7 linked regions of the Coturnix japonica genome follow. The protein of the gene in region 6 purifies or fractionates together with the protein of the main gene of each other region. This does not show direct contact. Links are inferred from orthologs where the notes say so. Each region holds a gene or a part of one and is shown on either strand. Other genes may lie near its edges. The genes, in order: EPC1, ACTL6A, TRRAP, VPS72, EPC2, MRGBP and BRD8.

Region 1 (3,500 bases), on a different chromosome or scaffold from region 6:
CCAGAGGGGAACCAAGTTATGTTATACCATTTACAAAATACCAAGGAGTCCACAGCTACCTAACACATTTACTACAGCACAGGAACCAATGAAGGTACAGTGTACAAAAAACTGTAAACACGGCACAATAAATAGATAAAACAGCAGGTTCCGCACCATGCACATGATGTGATGACACTTGTTCATCTCTATACAATCTCACATCTCACACTCTTACTTTGTTGCAGTTTGTTTCCCTCCCTCCCCCCGACCCCAAGTGCAAAGCATCACAAATGAACAGTTTTGTATTCAAGTAACATATATACAAGGGTATTACAAAGATGCAGTACTGTACAGATAATTGCTGTATTGTTAATTTACAGATGTTGATTCTTTCCTATTAACAGTAAGAAAAGAAAAACCAAAGCGTGAGAGATGTGCATCGCTGTCAAGTCCCCACAGCTGCCATGGAAACGCAATGTGCGGCATTCCATCATCCCTTGCATTCAAAATGCTACTGATGCATAGCACCTAAACAAGTTCCCAAGGCTGCAGTTCCACTCCTATGGAAACTACGTCACCTCCATTGCTACTGTATTGTCCGCTATATTGTTCAGTGCTGGCTTCTCTGTTTCATGGTTTTCCCTGTTGAAACAACAACGACAACAAATTAGCAAGACTGGAAAAAAAGATGGCGGAGCAGCTCATCGGCTGCTGAAACAGACCCATTTAAAGGCATTACATTGAAAAACAAACAGCAACGCAACTCCTAAATAACCCTCATCTTACGCTTCCACATTCACACTGTGCTTCACTCCCACAGAAGCATTCATCCAGCCCGACCCAGTTCTGGTCTGCCACAAACACCTTTTTATAGCAAAACGACTGGAAAATGTACACAGAGCAGAGAAACAGCCTACCTCGGTACGGCATCCACAGAGGATGAAGCTGGAACCTTGGGCACCTGACAGTTTGTCGCTGCAGCCAGCTTTAAGGCAGATGATGGAACAGCACTTAAAGTCCTAGGTATATGTCGTGCATTGAGCGTGGTGATAGAGTTTACAGTGGCAACTGATGAAGGTACAGTTAATCGGATGTTGTTCCCAATCAGAACCTGAGTTGTTGCAGAATTGGCAGCAGATGCTTGGTGACTCAGTGCGCTGTGGGAACTTGAAGTCTGCGTTATATTTGAAGGCTGTAGCAAGGCTGAACCTGCTGCTGCTGATGAACTTGTATGGACAAGTGCTGTAGGTGTAGTACTACTGAGGTGTAAGCCCTTGTATACTCCTGCAAAAGAGAAACAAAACACTAAGTCTGTTGTGCAGAAGTTCCTCAAGCCCAGACAAACTCATATCTCCACAACTAAAAAATTAACAACTCTAATAAAACCCACGACACGATCAAATTCTGCACAAACAGCTCCGTACCTGAGGCTTGAAGAATGCCATTCACCCCAATTCCAAGCACCACATCATCCTTCATTTTGAATCCCATCAATTGTTCTGATGTAACCAAAGCTGAAGCAGCGAATTGAGCGCTAACAGAATCCAGTGTCTTGGAAACAAAACCCTAAAAAGAACAATGGTGGCACACATCTGTGATTGAGGCTCCCAGGGTTCCCTCAGCACTCTCCTCATTTTAAAGCTACACACAAACTAGTGAAACAAAAATCCATCCACGTACATCACACCAGCCCAGTCATTCTCGCAAGGCTCAACTGCTGACATTTGGTACAAGCAGGTAAGAGCTGAGCTGTGATCTCTCTATGTGATTTTAGCTCCGTGACACAACAGAGATGAAAGACCCCACAACTATTAATAGAACACAAAGGAACTTATTTTCCAAGTTCTATGGAACAACGTTGTTTTACAGGTCAAACTGTTCTCATGAAATTCCAAACCCAGTTCAGTGCCTCAGATGTTCAGATTGCCAGTAACTTCTGAACGTTTTTAAAGACGTGTCCATCCTCAGTGCAAACACCACACACTGCTGAGCGTTAAGACACTTCCACATCTGCACAAAGGACACATTCAGAGCCGGCTTTAGTTGTTAACTAAGAAAACAGCCGGCTCTCAAGTCTCCCAGTGCCAAAAGGGTAACGACACGGCTGGAGATCTTTGCAATTCATATTCCTAAGGCTCTGAGTATTTAATTATTTGACTGACCCATCTTTTTGTTTTTTGTTAAGAGGGAGCAGAGGCAATGCCTGCCACACTCACCTGCAGTGTCCCTTCTAAACACTTTACAGAATGGCTATGATGTAGATTCAGGCGAAAGCCACTTTCCTGTTGGTTAGTTTCAAGGTTCTATGGCAACAGTTGACAATTAGAGATGAACCCTGGTGGGAAACAATGAGGGATAAATCATAGCACAGACAAATCCCTCACCTGTGATGTGTTGGCAGAGGAATTACTATTTGCTTGCTGTTGATGAATTTGTGCAAGCTGCTGTTTCTGCATTAGTGCCAGTTGTTGTTGATGTTGCTGGTATTGTTCGGCTGTAAATGCTGAACAAAATATAAAACGAGAGAATACTATATCAAAATAGGTAGGTGTTGTGTATATAAACACATCTATGTCATAGTCCTTCACACATAAATACACCCCAGCAAGCTCCTAAGAGCCCTAGAGCACCTTCGTGGCAGAAAGGCCAGCATCTTTCTAAAGGCCCTTCCAAACTAAGTCACCCCTGGAGCTGTTTGTTTCAAGCACGTGGACTTGCACTGCTGCACTGTATGTGCTCCAGGCAGCAAAAAAGGGAGGGCAAGGAAGGAACCAAAAACAACTAAACCCACACAGAACTGTAATATTAAAATTTCACAGGTAGAAATGGCACAAGCTGCCACCTTCCATTAAACTGAGCTGCGTGCATTAATAATAAGGCATGCTTCCACACAAGAAGAGGGAAATGAACAGGAGGCTACGCAGATAATGGCTTGAAAGGAGCAAGTCCAAATGAAACGTTTCTGTTTTAAGTTTAGCTCATGACTTTACATGGGACAAAATTCTAACTCCAATTCAATTTCTTCCCTAAGATCTTTGCAGGGGGACCCAGAATTCAGCATGTGACAAACCCGCTGCCATCGTACCCCACCAGTCCTGGAAAAAAGCTACTTCTAAGGACAGCACTTTGTACACGCTCAGAGGGGATGCCCAGTGGAAAACAAGTGCCATTCGTTTATCAATTAGCTTCATAAAGCGTTAACATCTTTTGTTTTTCTCAGTTTACAGCTCCTAGACACAAGAACCACCTGCTGTCAGTTTCACAGCAAGTCAAACCTGGAATCTGACTCTCCTGAACACATTCAGCCAATGGTGCACATTCAGGATTCTCCTTTGGTTTCATCTCTGGATAAAAGAGACACTCCCCAGTCAGTGCTGTGAGCAGCACTCACTCCTGATGCACAACTTGTACTTTCAGGAGAGCTCTCTCCTGTACGGCAACAAACCCCACTGCATCTTGTTCACACAATGCGATCACTGCCTGCTCCGCTACGTTTTCAGGCCCATCACCGTCAGAAA
Region 2 (4,073 bases), on a different chromosome or scaffold from region 6:
AAGACAGCTAACAGCCTGAACTTCCCTCCCCAGATCCTCCAGGCTTCTTTGCACAGATTTAGTCTCTTATCTTTGCACTCACCAAATCCTGAGGCTTCCAGACAACAGCAGGACTTGCAGCATACATTCAGTTCTCACTATCGGCACCAGGCAATTGCTGAGCAGGAAAGATTGGTCGTGCACAGGAACGCCCTCTCCCCATGCTGCACAGCCACACGCCTCTTCTGCTGGCACCACTGGGAGATCTCAAGTGCTGCAAAAGTTACAGATAAATGAAGCAGCAGACGGCTGTCTTGGTGTCTCACAGAATGACCTGGGTTGGAAGGGACCTCAAGGATCATGAAGTTCCAACCCCCCTGGGCCCCCTGTCTCACCCACAAAGCTATCATAAGCCACTCTTGGGGAGAGCAGGGTCTGCCCCAAAGCATCAGTTACCACAGGGATGTTATGAACCACTATGAAAACAAAGCCCAAGTACAGGCACAAGCTGAAGAAACGTCCCCCAGTGTTTTAACACCCATTTTGCTTTACAGCCTTCCCCAACTGCAATTAATTCATCCTTCTCCACCAACTCTACCTTGGGTATTAGTGCCACGTGCTAGAAATCACTATAACACATTAAAGGGCACCATAAAATAAATCAAAGCACACCAACATTACACAGTACAACTAGTGGCAAAGAAAGATTTGTGCTGATCTTCCTCATGCAAACACCTATAAAACTCTTTGAAAAGGCTGACAATAGCAGGACATGGGGAAATGGTTTGAAGTTAAAAGAGGGAAGATTTAGGTTGGATGTTAGGGGGAAGTTCTTCACTAGGAGAGTGGTCAGGCCCTGGAACAGGCTGCCCAGGGAGGTTGTGGATGCCCCGTCCTTGGAGGTGTTCAAGGCCAGGTTGGACGGGGCCCTGGGCAACCTGATCTAGTAAAGGTGTATGTTTGGTGGCCCTGCCATGCAGGGGGGTTGGAACTACATGATCCTTGTGGTCCCTTCCAACCCGGGTCATTCTGTGATCCTGTGGCACACCCACCTCAAGAGCTCCTCCCTCAGCTCCTCCCTCAGCTCCTCCTCCAACTCCTCCCTCAGCTCCTCCCGCCCCTCTCTCCTCACACCGCCCTTCCCGCGCACTGCACCTACACTTGCTTGCTCTCACTCTCCTCTACCAAGCTCCTCACTTCCCGCCTCATGATTGGCTACTCATAAGCAAGCCCCTCCTCCCTCCCTTCTCTGATTGGCCGCTGTGCCCACTCAGCCGTTCTGTTGGGTAACGCTCTGCAGTGCGGGCGGGTGGGCGGACGGCGGCGGCGCTGCCATTGGCGGGAAGGCGCGGGCCTGCGAGCTGCGCTGAGCCGGGCGGCGGGGCGAGAGACCGAGTGCTATTGTTAGCACAGCGCTGAGCAGCGGGCAGCCATGAGCGGCGGTGTGTACGGCGGAGGTGAGTCTGATATAACGACACTGTTGAGCTCCCTCAGGCCCGGCTCCCTCCCGCCGCATCGCTCCGTGTGTGAGGAGAGGAGGCCGCCGCGGGCCCAGGGTCCGTCCGACCCGTCTGGGTCACCTGCAGGGATGGGGCACACACAGCAGTGCCAGGGTCTCACTGCCCTCTCTGAAAAATTGCCCCCTAACATGCGACCTAAATCTCTTCCTTTAGTGTGGAACCATTCCCCATCGTCCTGTCACTATCAAACCATGTAGAAAGTCAGTTTCCCTCTTGTTTATAAGCTCCCTGTAAGGCTGCAACAAACTGTCACTGGCACCTTCTCCAAGCTAAGCAAAGCCAGCTCCCTTTCTCCATAGCAGAGGAGCTTCAGCCCTTTGATTGTCTTGACCCTCCTCTGGACTCACTCCAACATCTCATTCTTATGCTGGGGGCCACAGGCCTGAATGTGGTACAACAGATGGGACTTGGCGAGGGCAGGGCACAAGGGGATGGTCACCTTCCTTGCTCTGCTGGCCACCCCTCCCCTGATGCAGCTCAGGATGCTGTTGGCTTTCTAGGCTGAAAGCACACACTGCTGGCTCATGTCCAGCTGTCTGAGTCTCAAGTCCTGTGCAACACCTTGTACGTGGCCTTGTTGAATGTCATGAAGTTCATGTGGACTCGCTTCGCAAGCCTGTGTTTAGATGCAGCTCTCGTCTGTTAAAATTGCCCTTTTTCTTTTGCCAATGAAAGGTATTGCAGTGTCCTGGTTACAGCCTATCTGTAACCTCCTGGTGGCTCTCAGTTAGCTTGAATTCTGAATAGAGAAATTGCTCTGTGTCTCAGGAAAGATGCTTTATCATATTGGGCTTTTTTTTGTTTGTTTGTTTGTTTTCTGGCAAGCAAAGCAGACAAGAGATAAGTTCAGGTCAGGATTGCAGTAGAGCACAATAACCATTCACTACTTCTTTGTTAACAATCTTTGCAGATGAAGTTGGGGCTCTTGTTTTTGACATTGGCTCGTATACAGTGAGAGCAGGCTATGCAGGCGAAGACTGTCCAAAGGTAAGAATCTTTATGAACTCAGTGGGATTACAATTGGAGCTTGAACTTGTTTATTAGTCATAAGCTTCCAGAATATACTGTTTATTATTATTTAAGGAAAACTCTGAATTTTATTAGCCCCCTAAAAAACAAACCAATGAAAAACAAAACCAAAAACCAACAAAACAACCCACATCCAAAATGAATAACCTTCATCAATATTTTACCTTTTGCTTTACAGGTTGATTTTCCAACAGCTATAGGCGTGGTGCTAGAAAGAGACAATGGCAGCACTCTGATGGAGATAGATGGTGACAAAGGCAAACAAGGGGGCCCAACGTACTACATAGACACCAATGCCCTGAGAGTCCCAAGGGAAAATATGGAGGCCATTTCACCTTTAAAAAATGGAATGAGTATGGTGCTCTGTCTTTTTTAGCTGTCTTTAAGATACAATTGTTAGGCTGCAACAAGTCATAGCTTTCATGTAAACAGATGCTATCCATGTCAACTGTTTTTTCCTTTGGACTTAGAAAGCAGGCTCGTAAAGAAACGGTTCTGCTTTCACTTAAGATATTTTAATACGATAATGAGCATTTTTATGTCTTAATGGGAGACTTGTAGATTCTTGTTTATTTGATGGCTTTAATTTAGCTGTCTCCTTTGATAAAACAATTAAGAAACAAGTTTTTGGAAATAGTTCCTAATATTGTTCCTGTAACGTGTATGGACAGAGGCTATCAGCCATAAGAATGGCTCAATTTACAAAATGTCAGTGGACTTTTATTGTAACTTATTTATTTATTATTATTTATAATAACAATTCTTATTTGCTGTCATGATGCTTAAAAAAATATAGATGAGAATTTGGCAAAGCAGGAGGGGTATAGGGCTGCTGAGGACGGCTTTTGTCTGAAGAGCTCTTAGGAAAAAAAAAAACATCAGGAAAACTTTATGTGGATTTATGAAGTAGATCAAAAGTTAGAAGTAACTAATCTGCTTGCTTCGATGTCGTTGCAGTTGAAGACTGGGATAGTTTCCAGGCAATTTTGGATCACACTTACAAGATGCATATTAAATCTGAAGCGAGTTTGCATCCTGTCCTTATGTCTGAAGCACCAGTGAGTAAAAGGAGCTTTGCATTGTGAGGAGACTTATCAGTATCTTCTTGCTGAATCTATAGACATTAGTCTTGGAGAAACCCAGCACTGGCTTGTAGGTTATGAGTGTTAAAACTGAACTACAGAAGTAACATTTAAAAATATCATGCAGGTTCTGGAAAGTATTCTCAATAGGAAAAATGTCAAAAAAAAGCCCAAATTTGAAAGAATTTCTATGCGTTTCATTAGAACACACTTACTATGTGTTACTGTATTTCATGTATTTAAAAAAAAAAAAAAAAAAGTAGTATAAAATCAAAAATAACCTCACTTGACAGCACAGAATAAAAGCAAAAAGTTGTCTGAATGTCTTCATATATTACACTTAATCCATCTTTGCATGCAATCAGCCTGCCATCTAACGTGACAGGGAATAACACGTGTAGTGGAGTTTTAATTTCGTTTCAGCAAATGCTCCTGTAACATAAATGAGGTGCATGAACACAGA
Region 3 (3,500 bases), on a different chromosome or scaffold from region 6:
CTTCGGCAGTCTGTAACCTGAAAAGTCTGTTTATCTTCTTTTTCTTTCTCCCCTTGCTTTTCAAACACAGGTACAGGCGCAGGGGCCACTGGAGTGGCTGGAGCAGGAGATGGAACAGGAACAGGTGCTGCATTTGCTGCTGTTGGCACTCCAGGCAATGCAGCCTCAGCCGCCCCAAGCTCAGACTGTGGTTTGCACTTCTTAAAAATCCCTGAAAGCTGGTATCGTGCAATGGTGTGAAACTTCAGAACAAACACCTGCGGGGAGAGGGAAGAAAGGAAACAGAAGAGCAGAGGGGAGAGGGGAAGAAAAAAAGAAAGTAAGTTCCCACCTTAGAATTAAAAATTATTCTACATTTAATAACCCTAATCCTTCAATTGAACATACTTAAATCAATAAGGTTTAAAACCATATTTCTGGAACAGCTCGAATAACTGCAAACATATTCAAGTGTACCACGAGGTGTTAACATGCTGTTTTGGTATATTCTCATTTCTGAAGGAGGGAGTAAAGGGTGACTGATAATATACTACAAAACACTAATTAGGCTATTCAACTTATTATAAAAAATTTTAAACATGTCAATACCTCCAACATTCTCATGAGAATATCTCTACCATTCCCGTTTTCCTGTTCACTTTTAGACCGGATACAGTCAACCAAATTTAGCAGGAGCTTGCAGGACATTGTCTGGATACTGCTAGGCAGCGACTCATCATCAATATTCTTAGCAAATAACTGGACAGCAAGTGAGAGATCGTTGAGAGGTAAATGCTGCCGGACGTGATGCACCAGGTCTGCCAGTGTACTGTATGCAAGGGGCCTGTCAGTAAAAAACAAGAAACAAAGAAAACACATTGAGAACAATTATAACAGTTGCTAATTGGACTTAACCAATAATCACCACCTGATCTATTTCCAAGATTCTGAATTAAAATTTTCTATTTTTATGTGCAAACACATTGCTTTGAGGCTTTTTCAATTACACATAAAAATTACAATCTGTATAACTTCACCGAAGAAGCATTAATCCATTCCACAACACTAATATTAGAACTACTTGGATCTTTATTCACCCACTGCTGAACATCCCCACACACAACATCATCTCCATAACAATTCAGATGTTTCAAACCACACTGGAAGCTGTGCTGGTAAGCTTTTTCACAATTAATCCTCAGTTACTCATGACTTCATGAAAATGAGCCCTATAAAGTCTTAAAATTCTATACAGACAGTTAAATATTAGCAAACCCTGAAAGAAAGCAGCCATGGCAGGCACTCACAAAGACATTCCAACCTTTCTGCCATACCTCAGTGTCTCTCGAGCAGTATATCCAGAGCCAATTAATATAGATTCATCAAACAGTTTGTCCATGCATGGAATAAATTCTGTAATTCAAAAAAAAGAAAGAAAATGAAAGCTAAATAAATACTTAGATCGTTAAGCACTAAGCAACTCATTGTACATATTGAAACCAAAGACAGAAAGTTTACTCTTGAAACATGAAAGCTCTCAGTCAAACTCTTATAACTCTCCTGGCACTTGCCCCTTGAGTAACTTCACAGAACAGTCAAAGCAACACTATGGATGGATATAATGAGAACAGCTACAGCTGGAAAAAGTGGTTCCATTAATTTCAACTTCACAGAACTTTTTAGAAGCAACTAATGAGTTACTGCCCATGAAAACGCTGTTTGGTGTGTCATCTATCATTCAAGCTCTATCCCAAAATGTGAGAAAGAATACATGGAATTTGGGATTCAAGGAAATAAGAAGAGCTATCAGTAACAAATTCAAATGAAAAAGCAAGGTCAAATACGCTTTTTTTTTCTTTCTAAATATAGAATTCAAAAAGACTGAATTGATTAGTTCACTCCATCCAAAGGGCAGATGATGGCAATGACAGGAAGTGTTGAGTGATCCCACCTTCAAATAACACAAAGGAAAATAAAACCTCAAATAAAGAGAGGCACCCAAAAAGAACAGAACTGAAAGCTAAGTTCACCCCCTTTCCAAAGTAGCGAGAAGTGTGTAATAGTCCAAACCAAATCGTACACAAATGTACCTACTAGATACACAGAAATAGCTGAAACCTTATCAATGTATAGATACACTGTAGAAAACCATACGTACGGCTCCTCAAGTCTGTTGTTAAAATGTGCTTAGCAGCAATCAGAAGCTCCTTCCGGAGGTGTGCTGTTTCTGCTGGACAATTGGAAAGCAATTGCAACATTCCTTTCACCATTTGCTGAGAATATTTAGCCACTAATTCCTATAAAAAATAAATGAAAAAACAAATTATTATTATACTCTGCTTTAAAACTCTGTTTTTGAATCTCCAATAGAAGATTGTACTAAAATTCAGTGACTTCTCTTTAGGAAGTCTGCTTGTGAAAATAAAACACAGTAGCCATTCTATACATGCTTTTATTTCGTGTTCACATCAGAACACTTTTGAAAGCATAACTGAGTACAGCCCTACAGATGTGGTCAGGTTTGCTACTCAATTGCTCTTCTCTCCAGCAGTCATACAAGTAGCTTTCCCACCTTAGAGTAATGAGAGATCTGTTGCATTTAATAGTAAGGTAACAAAAATGCAACCTACCTGATAAATTCTGATGATGTAAGCCAAAAAAGACAATGTTTTAATTTGAGCAGCGATAAAATCAGCATACAGTTCTTTGTTATAAAGTTTATGTTGCCTGAAAACAAAATTGAACAGTGGTTATTCTTCTCCCCCTCTTCAATTGGTCAGAACATTCATGGCAGTATCAAATTACATTATCTTAAACAGAGGTTCTTGCTGCATAAGAAAATAAATTCATTACAGGAGAGCCCATTTAGCCAACATTTTATGCTTTAAATAGAAATGTGCAACTCTGAAGCAAGCATGCAATTTTCAACCCCCATCAGAAAACTAAGCTAATACATTCACCAAACAGCTGCCTCTCTTCCCTTAGCTGGGGCCATTTTTCTCCAAGCAATATTCCTTCCCAAAGGCTTGCACATCTCCCAAGTTCCAAAGACTTATGCAGATCATCCGAGCAGACAGGGAAAGACAGAGGTAGAAATCCTGCTGCACTGCACAGCACCAATTGCTGCTTCTTAGAAACATCTCCCTGAAGCAGGTAAAACAGTGCCCACATCTGCAAGACCACATGGCTCCATGCAAGCTAGACTTGGAAAAGCAAAACTGTAACAATGGTGGCTTCCTAAAGAGAAACAGCTCCGAAGTCCCAGCTGTGTGGTCTCCATCACATTCTATCTGTGGTAAAATCAATTTCAGATGGAGTCAGAAACTCCATTTTTTTAAAAATGCCTATCAAATAATAAACTGGGGGGCAGCTCATAACCATGAATCTTCTTAGTGACACATAATGGAAATACTCAAATTTGCCAATTACTTCAAGTATTTTGAGATTAAAAGCACTAAGACTAGAAGCAAAACTCACAGGATATAAGAGAAAAAAATATTTCAAATAACCTTGAATAGCAG
Region 4 (4,101 bases), on a different chromosome or scaffold from region 6:
AGATCAGCGTTTTATTCTGCGAGCCGGCAGTGGGGAGGGGCGAGATCACATATCCCGCTGTTATCGAGCCCTACCAGCGCCCCGCGCTGCTCCACCCGGTACCCGCCGCCCTCAGGAGCCCCCCCCACCCCCCCGGGGCATCGGGGCTCATCGCTGCGTCCGCCCCATCGGGGGGGGGGTGAAGGTTTGGGGTTGGTGCTGTGGGAGGCACCTCTATCACCGCAGAGAGAGGCTGCCCCACATGTCCCGGAGCTGCCCCACATCCCACAGCTCTGAGACCGCCTGTGTGCCCTTCTCACCTCCAGCCCCAATCTGAACACTATGGGAGGGTGTGTGGGGCACTGCATGGATCTGCCTGCAAACAAGGCTTCATTTCATCCTGCTGGATAACCCAGCAACAAGGGCACGACCTGCGCTCCCCCCTCACCTCCAGCTCCTTCTTTTTTCTCCTTTTTATTACAAAAAAGAAGCCAAGAAAACAACAACACAAAACAGGTTGACATGGAACAAGGAACAGGCGCTCTCAGGCCGTGGGCACGCTCTGCTTGATGATGATCTTCTGCCGCGTGGCTCTCAGACCAGGGTCAGGGCCAGGAGGAGCAGCCCCCAAAGCAGCGGATGCAGCAGCGGCGCTGGGCAGCCCGTGGGCCGTGATGTATTTCTTGTAAGCCTCACGGATGATTTTAAAGGCTCGGATGTTGGAATAGGGGATGTCAGTGATGGGGTCACGATATACAGCGGGTTTGTGGGTTACAGGGCAGATCTCCCGCACCGGCAACCGCGGAGCCTTCGATTTGGGGAAGAAACGTTCAAAGGTTTCATCATCAGTGAAGGAGATGAAGGTGCGGGAGCACTTGGAGCTGGAGGCTGGAGCAGCTTCTGCCTGCTGAGGGTCTTGGTCCAACCTGGAAGAGCCACAATCAGCTCTAAGGGATGCACGGAGCTGGGGGAGCCCAGGCTGTGGGCAGCACTAAACATGCTGCTCCACACTGAGCCCCAGGGATGGGAGCGATGGGGACTGTGTGCAGCATAAGGGAAAAGCATCAGGATCCCATCTGCTGTTCCCAACTCACCCCTCCACGTCCACATTCTCCTCCTTGCCCAGCTCTGTGATGAGGGGCATGGTGACGGACCAGTACCGGATCACGGGCCCCACGCATTTCCTCTTCTTCTGCACCTGCTTCTTCTTATCAGCCTCCAGGCGTTCGTAGTTCTCTGGGGAAGCAGAGATGAGCCCAGAGGGTCTCAGCACCCCCCACTACACCCCCCATCCCATTCCCAATCCCTGTGCTCTCCTCACCCAGCGAGCGGAGGTTGATCTCCTCCGTGATCTTGGCCTCCTCCAGCAGCTCCTCCTGTGTCAGCGGGCGGTCGTAGTTGGGGCCTCCCTTCTTGCGCTTGGATTGAACCTGGCGCTCCTGGATACGCAGGAAGGTCTGACGTGTGTGCTCTGTTGTTGACTGCCTCATGTGCTTCCGGCCTGCAGTGGGAGGATGGGGCTCAGTGTGGGGCCAGCACAGCTCCCAGGGCAGTGGGGTGCCTGGTTCCAGCCCAGGGATGCTGGCACATCCCATCCTGACTGCACTCACTGTCTCCTACTTCATCCTGGAGTTCCAGTGGGGCTAATTTCACCTCTCGGGCCTTTTGGGAGCTGCTGCTGGGGGTGTCGGCCTTCTTGGGTCGAAGGCTCTTGATGGGCTCCTAAGGGTTGGGCAGGAGGGATGTGAGGAGGGAGAAACCACATGGGGCTGCCCCATGTCCTCCAAGGGACACGTCCTCCCCACAGTCAGCAATTAGCAGATTGCTAATTATCCCATCCATCTGGGGCCATCCGTATCCCTTCCCAGCAGGTCAGAGGACACTGGGATGGACCCAGCCCCATCCCCACTTTCCCCTCCTCACCCTGTAGGCCTTGGTGACCACGCGGCGGCGCCGTTTGGGTTCGCTCTCATCCTGGTCGCTCGTCGGTTCCTCGCCCTCATCGATGTCAAAGTCGGAGTCCACCTCATCGTCACTGTCCGACTGGTCGCCCCGGTACTCATCATCCCCCGACTCCTGCAGGGACAGATGGGCAGCGTCACAGCCAGGGCTGCGCTCCACCACCCCCCCATGGGCCATTCATTGACAGCTGCCCCTGGGGGTCCTCCCAGCCCCATTTGGAGCCCCTGTTAAAGACCATCTAAAGCCACCCCTGCCCCATTCTGTCCTCCTAAGTGCCTCCGTCCCCATTCTGACCCCTCAGTGCCCCCAGCCCCTCCAGGACCCCCCCCAGTTTCCCTCACCAACCCCTTCAGGGCTCTAAATGTCCCCGATCCCACTCAGCCTCCATTGCAACCCTCTCATCTCCCCTCACACCCCCATAAATCCCCTTCCAGGCCTCCCCTGAGGACCCCCCGCACCCCCCCGACCCCCTTTAGGCCCCGGGTTCCCTCCCAACCCCCGTCTAAGGCCTCACAACCCCCTCAAACCCTTCAGTCCACCTCACACCCCCATAAATCTCCTTCCTGACGACTCCCCGGACCCCTCACGACCCCCGACCCCCTTTAGGCCCCGGGTCCCCCCTCTAAGGCTTCACACCGCCCCGCAGCCCCCCTGCCCCAGCCCGTCCCGGCCGTCGCACCTCAGTGAACCCCCCATACGTGGTCTGGTAGAACTCATCCTCCTCCTCGGCCTCCAACAATCCCGACAGCCGGTTCCCCGCCGTGCGCCGCGGGGCGCGGCCTTCAGCCAAACTCATCGCGGCGCCTCCGCCGCCATCGGCGCTCGACTCGTCGTCCTGCCGTAGGGGCGGAGCGAACGATGTAGCGCCCCCTTGCGGCCCGGAGGTCCGGAAGACTGGGTTGATTTCTATTGGCTGCTCGAGGAGCACGTGACTCACATCCCCCCCCTCCTCCATACGTGGGTGGTACCGAGGGGGCGTGGCCTCGCGCGAGGCGGCGGCGGGCGCAGGAGGCGGCAAGATGGCGGCGGCGGGGCCCGAGTCGGGGGGCAGCAGCGGCAGCAGCGGCGGCCTCGGGGGTACGGGGGGACTAAGGCCGGGCCCGGGGGCGGCGGGGGAGGCGGAGCTGAGAGCCGGAGGGACGAGGAGCGGCTGGTGGGGGGGGGGGGGGGGGGGGGGGGGGGGGGGGGGGGGGGGGGGGGGGGGGGGGGGGGGGGGGGGGGGGGCGGGGGGGGGGGGGGGGGGGGGGGGGGGGGGGTTGAGGTGACGGTCTCCCCCTGCCCGGTGGGGTGTCGCGGCCGTTGGGGGCTGTGGGGCCGTTTGGCACCGTGTGGGGGGGAGGGGGGTTGGTCACCATATAGTGATGTATGTGGGGGATATGGGGGGTGTGGGGCTGCCCTCGGCCCGGGGTAGGGATGATGGGGGGCACTTAGAGCTGCGATTCGGCCGTGTCAGTGTTGAGAGGGGGCTTACACTCCTTATTGCCTTCGAAGTTGGTGGTAATGGGTCTGGTTTAGGGATGCTGGACGTGGAACCGGAGTGATTTCTACCGCCGTCCCTGGCACAGAGCGCTGAGGCCGTTCCTGATTGCAGGGCAGAGCACGGAGAGCTTCTGGTTGCCCAAAGGGGGACGGCTGGGGGGCTGCTGCCCAGCGGGGCCTCATCTCGGCGGCCTCCTGGCATCGCGCTCCTCATTTGGAGCCTCTGGAAATGGGTCTGTGCCCCCTCCCCGCCCCCTTTGTTGGTGCTCCCTGCTGTTCCCACGGCGCTGTGAGGAATGGGGGGGTCCGTGGCTCTGCCGGCTCAGGGTGAAGCTGCTCTTTCTCCTCCCGCCGTGCTTTGAGTTCCCTTTGGGAGCTCGGAGATGTCACACATCTCACCTCTCTCACCCGGAGGAGGAGCTGCCGCCTCCATAAAGCTCAGAGAGCGTGGAGAGCTTCACATGGGATAGAAGTGCACGAGTCTCAACCTCTTCTCCCTCCCTGCTGGGATCTGCGCCGCCGTTTGCTTTGCAGGGCAGTCTGGTGTTGGTCAGGGTGTTTTTCCTGCTGGGTTTCAATCTTGGTGGCAGAGCTGCGTGATGTGAAGTGCGTTCACTTCGGCTGATCCCCAGCAGTGCAGCATTTAAAGCTCTCATCCCATCTCTGGGGCCTCTCTTAGAC
Region 5 (3,500 bases), on a different chromosome or scaffold from region 6:
AATTATTGCAATGATATATAATGCAATACATACCTGGTAAAATGTCCTTTACGTGGTGTGTTACAGTTTTAAAGCCGGTTAAAATATGCAGTCTTCGGATAAAATGTCATTGGTTGAAAATTTTCTCTTATCTGCACAATTTTATATGTGTCAGATGCATAATTTTCCTAGTCAGCTTTTTTTTTTCCTGTGTAATTATTTTTTATAAACTGGTATTATAAATAGAAATATACATTCAAAATATATGGAAAAGTGAGTTACTACATTAAATTTGCATGTATCGATCCATCCCTTTCCCCTGCACAGTAATAGAAAATACTATTTTGCCTTGAACTTCATATTTGACAGTGAAATGCCACTAAAGTATTTACCAAAAAGTCCATCTAGTCAAATTGTGAAACAAAATGAACCAAGTGAAAACTTTACATTTCCTTTAGAAAAAAATTACAAGAATTTTGTCTCCTAGCTATGAATCTTTAACTTCTTTTTTTAGACACAAAGTTGGATTTATTTGTACAAGATACAAAATGTAAACATGGCAAAATAAATAGTTAAAACAAGTGATGCAGGATCCCATTTCATGCTCATGATCCCATTAAAGAATTATTTTTTAATCCATTCAGTTGCAAATTCAAGTGCAAAAGCATGATGATGAATATCTACTATTCAAGTAACAGAAATAATATTGATGATACAAATAAACTATTTTACAAGGTAGTGATTCTCCCAATTTTACAAAATTTACATTATATATCGACTTAATACACGATATAAGGATAGTCCATTTAGGTCCATTTTAGTTCTCTGTGATCCACAGAGTGCTGTATTTTGCATTCGGTTGGAATATAAATGACTACACCGTTAGCACAGGTTGAGACACTGATTTGAGGTTATGTCACTTCCATTGCTACTGTTGTCTCTGCTATGCCGTTCAAACCCAGCCGCTCTGGTTCATGGTTCTCTCTGTAACAAAAGAAGCATTCCACAATTACAGGTAGAACACGGATATTTCCTTATGCAATTTCAGTGATTTCTTACAGGCTCTGTGCTCTTACATGGCTATGGACAAACCTTAACATACACACTAGATAGAAACAGACCATTTAAAGCTGAAATACTGGTGGTTTAAGAATGGCTTTAACCCCATGAACATTGCAGTTCCTTCTACAAGAGTATTAGCAGAGATGTCCCAACTTCAATGCATTTAACTATAAATTACCAGCCCAAATTACAGATAATAATAAGTCTCCTGAAGGAACAGAGTCACGGTATGCCATTAGGACTTGTGCAACAGCTACCAATTATTCCATTTGTGAACTATTTTTTTCCAGTTCAGTTTCAGCACAAAAAAAATTCTAATTTCTTTCTGACTTTATTACCATCCCCTGTAGAGGAGCCTTAGGTCTATTCAGCTAAGATGGTTCTTTTTCAGGCATATGCTGACTTGACTTGAAACACCCCTGTGACTCGATGGAAACAAGAGCTAAAGGCACTAATGATACAGGAATACGCTTTAAAGCAATTGCTAATTTAAAAACAGCTTTTCCACTCTCTGCACAGGGACTGTACTATACGTGTGGTTCTCCATCTCAAAAGCTCTTTTTAACAACTCTGGATATGTCATGAAATAATCCATAATGGATAAAGCTAATGCTCTTTTTCTGCTTTCTTAACCTATAGACAAGTATTTCTTTTTTGCTTTTAAAGCATCATACAATCCAGCAGAGACCTTTACAACAGAGCCCAAATGCTGTCATTTGCAAAACATAATCAGCTACAAGCCACTGCCACTCCTGTGGAACACTTAAGTACTGGCTAAGTACTCGTAAATGAAAATAATTATACATTATAAAGGCATGCATAGTAAGAGACAGACTGGCTTATATCTGTTTTCTATTTTGAATTCAAAACGTGTATGCACACATACATATGTATAAAATAGATATGCCAGCCTGCATCTTACATTATGGGTACATATAGCTGCAGAGAGAACACATGGAGAGTTTGAAAGAATCTACTTGGCAAGTGCTGAATAAGAAGGGACAAATGAAAATGGTTAGAATGAAGCCACTTAAACACAATGGAAGACGACCAAAACTAGTGTGCTCCAAACTGGCAGAAGTTTTAACTGGAATCTGTGCTCTAACTTGCTCTGCGCTTACCTTGCTATACTGCTGATGGCACTGCTAGGAGTTACCTTTGGCACTCTGTCCATACTGGCAGCAACTGTGGCAAGTTTTAAGGCTGTTGGCGATGGTGCTGAAGTCCTTGTATTAATATGCACATTGACTGGAGAAACAACGCTGACATTGTTGAGGTGCACTGCATTAGTCAGGCAAGAATTGTTCATGGGAAGTGTTTGAGGGCTGCTTGTGCACAACGCTGGAATTAAGTGGTTTGTGGTGGTGTGGCCAACTGTCCTTACAAGCTGTACAGCTGAAATCCCTGGGCTGGATGATAAAGCCATGTTGGTGGAGTACAACGTTCTAGAGGTTCCTGTTGCAAAGCAAATGTTTTTAATTAAAACATGCCATTTAGATTTAAAGACAAAAGGTTAAATCTCAACAGTAATGATTTAAGCATGTGAGTCACTGGAATCATCCCTGTGTTAACTGCTTTAAGGACTCAAACAGATGAAAAGTCTTAGAATTCTTTCCAGTCAAGCTTAGGAGTATTTTAAAAGTGGGGGTTTTTTTTTGTTTGCTTCATTCACAAAGACATCAGAAAGTGGAAGAGTCTGTAGTGTCAAAGAGCTTTTATATTTTCCAACTTCATGCACTTCAATTTAGGAGTCTTAAAGTGCAGCATTCCCCATAAAAGTACATCATATGGGACCACAGCTTAGCCAGGCAACTATAGAGACTGAGTGAGAAGCCAAGTTCTGATGCTTTGAATCACCTCCTCCCTTATCTGACTGGCACCACCATGAGTTACTTGGGTCTTCAAGGCAACAGAATGAGGAGTACAGGACCCCTCCCAGCTTACAAAGCAGTGCTGTCTGTATTCAGATGGTGGGAGAACTTCAGGCTCTAGCTACAATCAAGCACAGCACATACTCAAACTGGTGGCTCTCAGGATTCCTCTTCCTATTCACTGATGGAAAAAAAAAAAACTGGGTCTAAGAACATTTCTCCCTATTCCTACAAAAAGCTGGTTTTAGTCAATATGTCCTAATTTAAATCTTCCTATCTGAAGCTGGAATGGCTGTTTTACATCAGTGACATCTACAGCCTTGGAACAGTAACACAAATCTAATTTTATATGCATATCTGCAATATTTTTCATCAACTGTAAGGCTATCGTGCTGATACATGGTACACACACATACACCTGATCCTGTATCCCTCAAAACATTACACTCTCAGATCTGATATTTCAGCAAGTTATACACAGTTGCCCTTTTCTTTACTGGATCAGTTCCAGTATATTGATTTTATTCAGCTGTGTTGCACTGCTCTCCCCCTCACACTTCTACTTATTTCACTATTCAGCCTAGCAGA
Region 6 (3,986 bases):
TCACTTGTTTTTCCTAAACTTCCAGAGGGTGCAAAAACTGAAATAGGATCAAAGTAATGATTCCAGATCAGACTCACGCACATAGCAAACAAGAACTGACATAAAATCTCTTTGTATTATATGAAGCCTTTCAAATAAATACATTCTCAGCACCTTTAAAGATCCTCCAAACACAGACATAACCCAACCCCACTCTGTTCTCCTTCCCACTTAAGTATCTCATGTTTTGATTTATTGACCTTAATTTCTCATAAAGAAACCAAACACAGACAAGGCCACCAACCTCCATATCTGTCACCATACCAGGCTGCCCAGGGTCCCATCCAATCTGGCCTTGAACACCTCCAGGGGCATCCACAGCATCTCCAGGCAGCTGTTCCAGCACCTCACCACTCTCATAGTAAAGAGCTTCCACTGGCATCCAACCTAAATCTCCCCTCCCTCACCTTAAAACCATTTCTCCTTGTCCTGTTTTCTACCCTTTCAAAGTGTTGACTCCCCTCCTGTTCACAGGCTCCTTTTAGGTAGTGAAAAGCTGCAGTTAGAAGCTATATAACTCCATACATGAATTAGGAGCAAGGCAGGAATCTCCATTAGAATCAGATACTGGCAACTGCTTATTCCATGCATTCTTAAGTTACTTTAGTTCTTTACAACAAGCATATACTCAGTCTGAGCAGAAATCACAGAATACACCATATATGATATTTACATTTTAACATTAATATTTCAGAATTACAGTTGTTTTTTAAATCTCATTATGCTGCAGAGAGTTACAAATTTACCTTCTTCTGGACCTGCGTGTGTTTCCATCTCCTCTTTTATCTCCTCTTTCACTTCTTCTTCCATCATCACTTTTCCTATGGGAATAATCATTAAACAATGTTTAGATGGTTTTGAAGAAGGGTTTCTCCATTAGCAGCCTCAGCATTATGTGCACAGACATCAGGCGTAACTGCAACGCCCTTAGAATTAAAACATATAAACTATACTAAAAATAAGCACATCCTAACAATAAAAACACATTGGTTATACCAGCAACAGGTATTTGTGACAAGTCCAAATGTCTACCCCCAGAAGCTGAATCTACATGGTATAAACAGAACCTATGTGTGTGCCATACTAGCATTCATGTATATCAGATTTAAGAATACAAGGAATACCGTGTGGAACTTGACCAAGGGTCTGTACTGTCCACTAGTTTCCTTTCTACAGTGGAGAATCAAAGAGGCTGATAAATGGGGAATACGAACAAAACCAGCAAGGTGATCCTTTCCCTGATTACTTCCTTCAGCCAGCACATTCAAGAGATCTATCTGTTCTCTTCTAACACACCAGTCTGAAAGAACAGCCATGTATTTATGTTAATGGGGTACATTGTTATGTTCTTTTCTGGGTGTTCTGTTAAGCTGTTCGTTCTGTGATGGGCCTAGAGCAACAAAAGAAATAAAAGACTTCTATCACATCTTACCTTCTCTCACTTCTTGAATCAGCTCATCAGGAAGAATAAAATTCTTCTCTATATTTGGAAATGGAAGAATCTCAGACTCATGCTTAGGGAGAAAATAGAGATTTTTATGATTGTAAAGATTAAAATATACATATAGAATAGAAATGCAATCTCAAGCTCTATTTTAAGTGCACTCGGTAGCCAAATAATTAACAAGATATTCAGGCAGCAGAGATTAAAGATGCTCCTGACATCAAACTGGTTCCTAAGTTAATTGAGATCACAACTCATTGTGATATGAGTGATATAATGACCATTACAGATCATTTCTGGAATCAAACTGTAGCAAATTCTTAAATATACACAAGTTGTCTGTTTGGTACCTAAGTACCTACATAAATGTTTGCTGGATCAGCTCTTAGGCAATTAAAAATGGAATAAAGACACTGAAAAGTCAGAACTCAGTATGGCAAAAAAGAAAACGCAAACCAAAACAGTGTAAGTTTTATTGTCTCCCACCTAATGCACTTTCATACAGGAAAGAACTTCATCACCTTGCTGAAAACATACATCATGTTCTGTCACTTGTCAGCTGTCAGGTTCCAGGGACTATGACCAATCACAGCTCCTGAACGACAGGAAATTAAGTGCTCAATCTCCACTCCTTTATACTTACAAGAGCCTGCATGTCGTACATGGTGCTCAGATGGTCCCAAATCACTTTGGATGAAATCTGCCGTCCGATATTCTGACTGAATTTATCACGGATACAAATCATGTGAAAATGGCGATTCACACCTGGGGGGGAGGAGGGGAAACAGTGTAATTAACATCGCCAACAGCTTGATTTGTGCAGCAAAATAATATGAATCGTTAAAAACAAGCAAGCAAACAACCCATAATCACAGAGGAAATCATAGAGAGAGATCATACAGGGAGATGAATGGGCAGCCCTGCCTGGCTGGCCAGCACCGAGAGCTGGCCAGTCCCGCAGGCCGCTGGGGGCAGCAGCCCCACTCAGTGCCCGCAGCCCGCTACTCCAACCCGGCCAACGCCGCTACTCGAGGCCGAGGCTCGGCGCGGCCTGCTCTCACCTACGGGCTTGTGGCCCAGCATGGCGTGGAACAGGCAAACCTCCACTTCGGGGCTCCATACCACCACCGCTTCCTCTGCCGGCACGCCGGGCTCCGGGGCGGAGGCAGCCGCGGCAGCGGCGGCAGCAACAGCAGCGGCGGCGGCAGCGACAGCAGCGGCGGTACCGGGGCCGGCTGCGGGCAGCGGCGGTTTCTCCACGGCAGCGGCCGCGCCACCCTCCGCCTCCCCCATGGCCGCTCCGAGCCGGGCCGAGCCGAGCCGCCTCGCGGCGCCCTCTGCCGTTCCCGCAGCGGCTCCTGGCGGCCGGAGGGGCGGGCTGTGCAGAACATAGGGCTACCTCTGAAAGTACAATAGTATATGAATATCAATATCACTTAATTACCCACTATTATGTTGAATTATCTACGATATCATGGAGATTTTGTTAAGGGTCCAGAGGAGGGACAGGAAGATGATCAGGGGGCTGGAGCACCTCCCCTATGAGGACAGGCTGAGGGAGTTTGGTTTGTTCAGCCTGGAGAAGAGAAGGTTGCGGGTGACCTCATTGCAGCTTTCAATACCTGAAGGGAACTTACTGCCAGGAGGGGAGGAAACTCTTGGAAAGGGCTGACAATAGCAGGACACGGGGAAATGGTTTTAAGTTAAAAGAGAGAAGATTTAGGTTGGATGTTAGGGGGAAATTCTTCACTAGGAGAGTGGTTAGGCCCTGGAACAGGCTGCCCAGGGAGGTTGTGGATGCCCCGTCCTTGGAGGTGTTCAAGGCCAGGTTGGATGGGGCCCTGGGCAACCTGGTGTAGTAAAGGTGTATGTTTGGTGGCCCTGCCAGGCAGGGGGTTGGAACTACATGATCCTTGAGGTCCCTTCCAACCCGGCTCATTCTGTGATTCTGTGATATGATGCCAGTTTTCATGACATACATAGATTTCTACATGCCCGAATGCATGCATTTGAGGCCCAGTCCTGCACCAAATCACTCAGTAGCCAGTAAACCCTCATACAAGAGAAATAACCTCAGTGCCTTGGCATCTTTCAGTATTTCTCAGTAAAATATTCTTCCTGATAAGGACCTCCTGAAGAGTGCTGATTTGATTTGTGAGCTTTTCCCGTACTTTCAATCTGTTATTTTGGTGTGAAATGTGTGGGAAGTTTTGCTTCAGCGGAGCTGGATAGGGAGTTGGAACTATCAGTGGTGGTGGTTTGAAATAGATCTGCTTTTCTCCCACAGGACTTGTCAAGAAGGAAGAATCAAAAGGATGAGAAGCCTGTGTCTTGTTGGAGCCCTTTCACATAGAGCTCTTTACAGAAGTGCTGCTGCTTCCAGCCAAGAGGCAAGAAGATGCTCCCCGGGTTTCTTCCAATTACCCACATTCTTAGCAAAAAGCTGTTTGATTGTTTCAAACAGGGATATTGAACAGGGTGTGCACTCATAGACATGGCGTAA
Region 7 (2,611 bases), on a different chromosome or scaffold from region 6:
TACCACACCTCCTCCAATATTTCCTCCAATATTTCCTCATTTCACAACACTTTTCATCACTTGCTCTTGAAATCACGGACAGAAACATAGGGATTGCAGAAATAACTCATGACTCTCAGACCCATCTCTGGGTTGATGTACATCCCCAGAGCTGAAGTCTAATCAATGGACTTAGTTAAAGAAACATAATAACAGTAAATTGTTCACATGAAGATGCAGGACCTATTCCAATCTAAAAACACATTCTGCACATCTTTGGTACTGGAACTTTATGTGGTATCTTGAGATCCTCCAAAAGACACCAGCCGCCCTTCTGCAGGGTGCAGCATTCTCACCTTCTCTGAAGCATCTTGCTTGCGAGTGGAGTCTCGCCCACGCAGGCTCTTTGCGCTGATCCCCGACTCTGACGTTTGCATGATCAGTTGTGTAGCCAGAAATTGCTGCAGGAAAACCATACTCTGTTAAGATTCTCTAGCAAAACAAGCTCAGTTAAAGCTTGTCAGCTATCACAAACCACAGGGCTGGGAACGAATGGGTCAGAGACAGTTTCAGTTCCTTGTTTGCTGCTCAGAATAAGTTTCCCCATTCACCTCAGCAGCCACAAGTCTGGAGGGACTATAAAAATCCAGTTCAAACTATGACAGCCCTGGCAGCTGGGACGTTCTGCTTCAGAAGAAATTCTAATGATACATATTCAAAGGACAATCTCAGGACAGTTTTGTATGTGCCTCAAGCCAGCACAGACTGACAGTCACCAAAAGCAGCAGCTGCGTCCCTTGTCATTCACTGATCTTGTTGCTCATTTCTGTTCCTGAACCACACCCCAGTTCTTGCTGGCCTAAGCATATGTGCACCCCCAAAGGAAATCAGGTTTGAAATTAGTCTGGGCTAAGCCAAACAAACATCTCACTGTGTTAGTTTTAACAATCCAGTTCACCACAAACACCTAAGCTAGTACAAGCAGGCAAAGATGGGGATTCATTTGAAGACACTGTGAGTGAAACTTCATTTTCACTTCCAGAAGTCTTTCCTGTACCTGTGGACCAATGCAGACAACTCTGTTCTGAAACAGCCTCAGCTCAGTACTTTACCTGGATCTGTTCCAGGACATCTCGCTGCATCTCTACAGCCATATGGTACACATCGTGGTCAGAGCTATTGTACATAACTGCATTTTGAAACATCAGCATAATGTCACGCTGGAACTCAGCTGTGGTTCGTATCAGTCCATTCTCAATGTTCTTCTTGATGGTAGATAAATCCATCGGCCTATGAAATACATTCAAAATAGCAATGCAAACATGTAACTCTCTCCTTTCTCATTTGCAGTCTAAGGACTAAAACATATCTAATTAGACCATCTATTTAATTTAGCAGAATATGTTCCCACATAGGCTGCATTCCTGAGTTCCAAGGCTTCAGATCAGGAGACACAATCTGCTCAGCAGTTAACAGGAATGGTAAGTACATGTAACAGCTGCCTCAAGAGAGGCATTTGCCTTCTCCAAGCATTCCGTGTGACACAAGGGAGCCACAGCTACAACCACTGGACTATTTAGGCACATTTTGGTAACTCTTCCATAATCTAGACTTTCTGAGGCAATAAAAGAGCTGATTAAAGAATCCGGGTTGTGGGAACATCACACCTTAAATTCAACCCTTGGACAATAACAGAGAAGCTGATAGTCACATACCACTTCACTGATAAAAAAATGTTCTGGTCAAATCTGTATTTCATTCAAGGACAGGGCTGTGTACAGACTTGTATGTGTTACTGAAGGTGTCCCTTTTTCTTAGGGAAATACAATGAATGATGTCAGAAGAAAGGTATTTTTCAAGTTTTGCAGTCTGAACAATGGATGAACTCTAGACTCTTCCTGGCAGAAATTCTTACGCAAATACACCAGAGTTCTTGTCACATAAGAATGCTGAGACTCACCTCTGCACAATACTGTGGTAGCCTGGTGCTATATCGTCAGTCACAGGCTGCAGGAAGACATTGGCATACCTAAAGAGATAGAGAGAGATTCCAGTGAATGCCCTGCCCCTGCCAATAGAGGAACAATTCTCAAATACTTGTGTCATGCTCTCATGTTTATTTGTCTGCTATCACTAACAGTGTGATTCATCATCTCCCCATAACAAGGCAGGTAAAGCCTCAGAGCTGGGAAAGTACAGACTTGCCTGAGATTAGTCACTTCTTTCTGCCAGTTCTCAAGACATCAAACTCACCTGTGATTAGCCGCTGCTCTCCAAACCAGCATGATGGCTTTCTTCCAGATCTTCTGAGCCTGTATTGCTTCCTGATCCTCACTGCACACTGAGCTGAGAAAAAAACAGAATATGATTTCCTCTGTGAATCTCCATACTGCCCTGGCGCAGAAACCTTACGGTTCATTTTGCCTTTGTCATGCTTACAGTAACCCAAGCCAGAGAGAAATATAAAAAATGGGACCTGGCACTACAGCACTGTTTGAACACCTGCACTTCTGAGTAAGGACAATCTAGTGCCAGACAAATCATCAACAAATTCCCCCACTGGACCCACTCAGCAAAACAGAAATGAGAATCCTGCACTCCCCCCAGGAAACAGCCTGGGATTTGCACCTGT

Evidence for each region.
Region 1: the proteins of MRGBP (region 6) and EPC1 purify together in Homo sapiens (affinity purification with mass spectrometry; 6 studies listed by BioGRID and IntAct, counting the BioPlex papers as one, with this or other methods). This does not show direct contact. The link is inferred for Coturnix japonica from reciprocal best matches to the Homo sapiens genes MRGBP and EPC1.
Region 2: the proteins of MRGBP (region 6) and ACTL6A purify together in Homo sapiens (co-immunoprecipitation; 4 studies listed by BioGRID and IntAct, with this or other methods). This does not show direct contact. The link is inferred for Coturnix japonica from reciprocal best matches to the Homo sapiens genes MRGBP and ACTL6A.
Region 3: the proteins of MRGBP (region 6) and TRRAP purify together in Homo sapiens (co-immunoprecipitation; 3 studies listed by BioGRID and IntAct, counting the BioPlex papers as one, with this or other methods). This does not show direct contact. The link is inferred for Coturnix japonica from reciprocal best matches to the Homo sapiens genes MRGBP and TRRAP.
Region 4: the proteins of MRGBP (region 6) and VPS72 purify together in Homo sapiens (co-immunoprecipitation; 5 studies listed by BioGRID and IntAct, counting the BioPlex papers as one, with this or other methods). This does not show direct contact. The link is inferred for Coturnix japonica from reciprocal best matches to the Homo sapiens genes MRGBP and VPS72.
Region 5: the proteins of MRGBP (region 6) and EPC2 purify together in Homo sapiens (co-immunoprecipitation; 4 studies listed by BioGRID and IntAct, counting the BioPlex papers as one, with this or other methods). This does not show direct contact. The link is inferred for Coturnix japonica from reciprocal best matches to the Homo sapiens genes MRGBP and EPC2.
Region 7: the proteins of MRGBP (region 6) and BRD8 purify together in Homo sapiens (affinity purification with mass spectrometry; 10 studies listed by BioGRID and IntAct, counting the BioPlex papers as one, with this or other methods). This does not show direct contact. The link is inferred for Coturnix japonica from reciprocal best matches to the Homo sapiens genes MRGBP and BRD8.

The regions. Positions count from the first base shown.
Region 1 is NC_029517.1:12,828,581-12,832,080, reverse strand, and holds part of EPC1 (enhancer of polycomb homolog 1), read right to left. Parts: exon of another isoform or gene 3,203-3,500; intron 2,486-3,202; coding exon 2,367-2,485; intron 2,286-2,366; coding exon 2,199-2,285; intron 1,720-2,198; exon of another isoform or gene 1,549-1,719; coding exon 1,407-1,548; intron 1,267-1,406; coding exon 900-1,266; intron 625-899; coding exon 552-624; 3' UTR 1-551. UniProt on the Homo sapiens protein: Component of the NuA4 histone acetyltransferase (HAT) complex, a multiprotein complex involved in transcriptional activation of select genes principally by acetylation of nucleosomal histones H4 and H2A.
Region 2 is NC_029524.1:15,354,701-15,358,773, reverse strand, and holds the start of ACTL6A (actin-like protein 6A), read left to right. Parts: upstream 1-1,273; 5' UTR 1,274-1,411; coding exon 1,412-1,436; intron 1,437-2,409; coding exon 2,410-2,486; intron 2,487-2,706; coding exon 2,707-2,881; intron 2,882-3,485; coding exon 3,486-3,586; intron 3,587-4,073.
Region 3 is NC_029529.1:1,402,507-1,406,006, reverse strand, and holds part of TRRAP (transformation/transcription domain-associated protein), read right to left. Parts: intron 2,707-3,500; coding exon 2,610-2,706; intron 2,277-2,609; coding exon 2,138-2,276; intron 1,393-2,137; coding exon 1,314-1,392; intron 824-1,313; coding exon 589-823; intron 258-588; coding exon 1-257. UniProt on the Homo sapiens protein: Adapter protein, which is found in various multiprotein chromatin complexes with histone acetyltransferase activity (HAT), which gives a specific tag for epigenetic transcription activation.
Region 4 is NC_029540.1:2,245,309-2,249,409, forward strand, and holds VPS72 (vacuolar protein sorting-associated protein 72 homolog), read right to left. Parts: upstream 2,801-4,101; 5' UTR 2,738-2,800; coding exon 2,621-2,737; intron 2,056-2,620; coding exon 1,903-2,055; intron 1,702-1,902; coding exon 1,590-1,701; intron 1,481-1,589; coding exon 1,301-1,480; intron 1,216-1,300; coding exon 1,074-1,215; intron 906-1,073; coding exon 524-905; 3' UTR 438-523; downstream 1-437. UniProt on the Homo sapiens protein: Deposition-and-exchange histone chaperone specific for H2AZ1, specifically chaperones H2AZ1 and deposits it into nucleosomes.
Region 5 is NC_029522.1:31,150,190-31,153,689, forward strand, and holds part of EPC2 (enhancer of polycomb homolog 2), read right to left. Parts: intron 2,497-3,500; coding exon 2,163-2,496; intron 964-2,162; coding exon 891-963; 3' UTR 1-890. UniProt on the Homo sapiens protein: May play a role in transcription or DNA repair.
Region 6 is NC_029535.1:7,458,414-7,462,399, reverse strand, and holds the start of MRGBP (MRG/MORF4L-binding protein), read right to left. Parts: upstream 2,801-3,986; 5' UTR 2,777-2,800; coding exon 2,545-2,776; intron 2,249-2,544; coding exon 2,127-2,248; intron 1,554-2,126; coding exon 1,472-1,553; intron 861-1,471; coding exon 786-860; intron 38-785; coding exon 1-37.
Region 7 is NC_029528.1:11,890,451-11,893,061, reverse strand, and holds part of BRD8 (bromodomain-containing protein 8), read right to left. Parts: intron 2,326-2,611; coding exon 2,233-2,325; intron 2,009-2,232; coding exon 1,940-2,008; intron 1,270-1,939; coding exon 1,092-1,269; intron 441-1,091; coding exon 336-440; intron 1-335. UniProt on the Homo sapiens protein: May act as a coactivator during transcriptional activation by hormone-activated nuclear receptors (NR). Isoform 2 stimulates transcriptional activation by AR/DHTR, ESR1/NR3A1, RXRA/NR2B1 and THRB/ERBA2.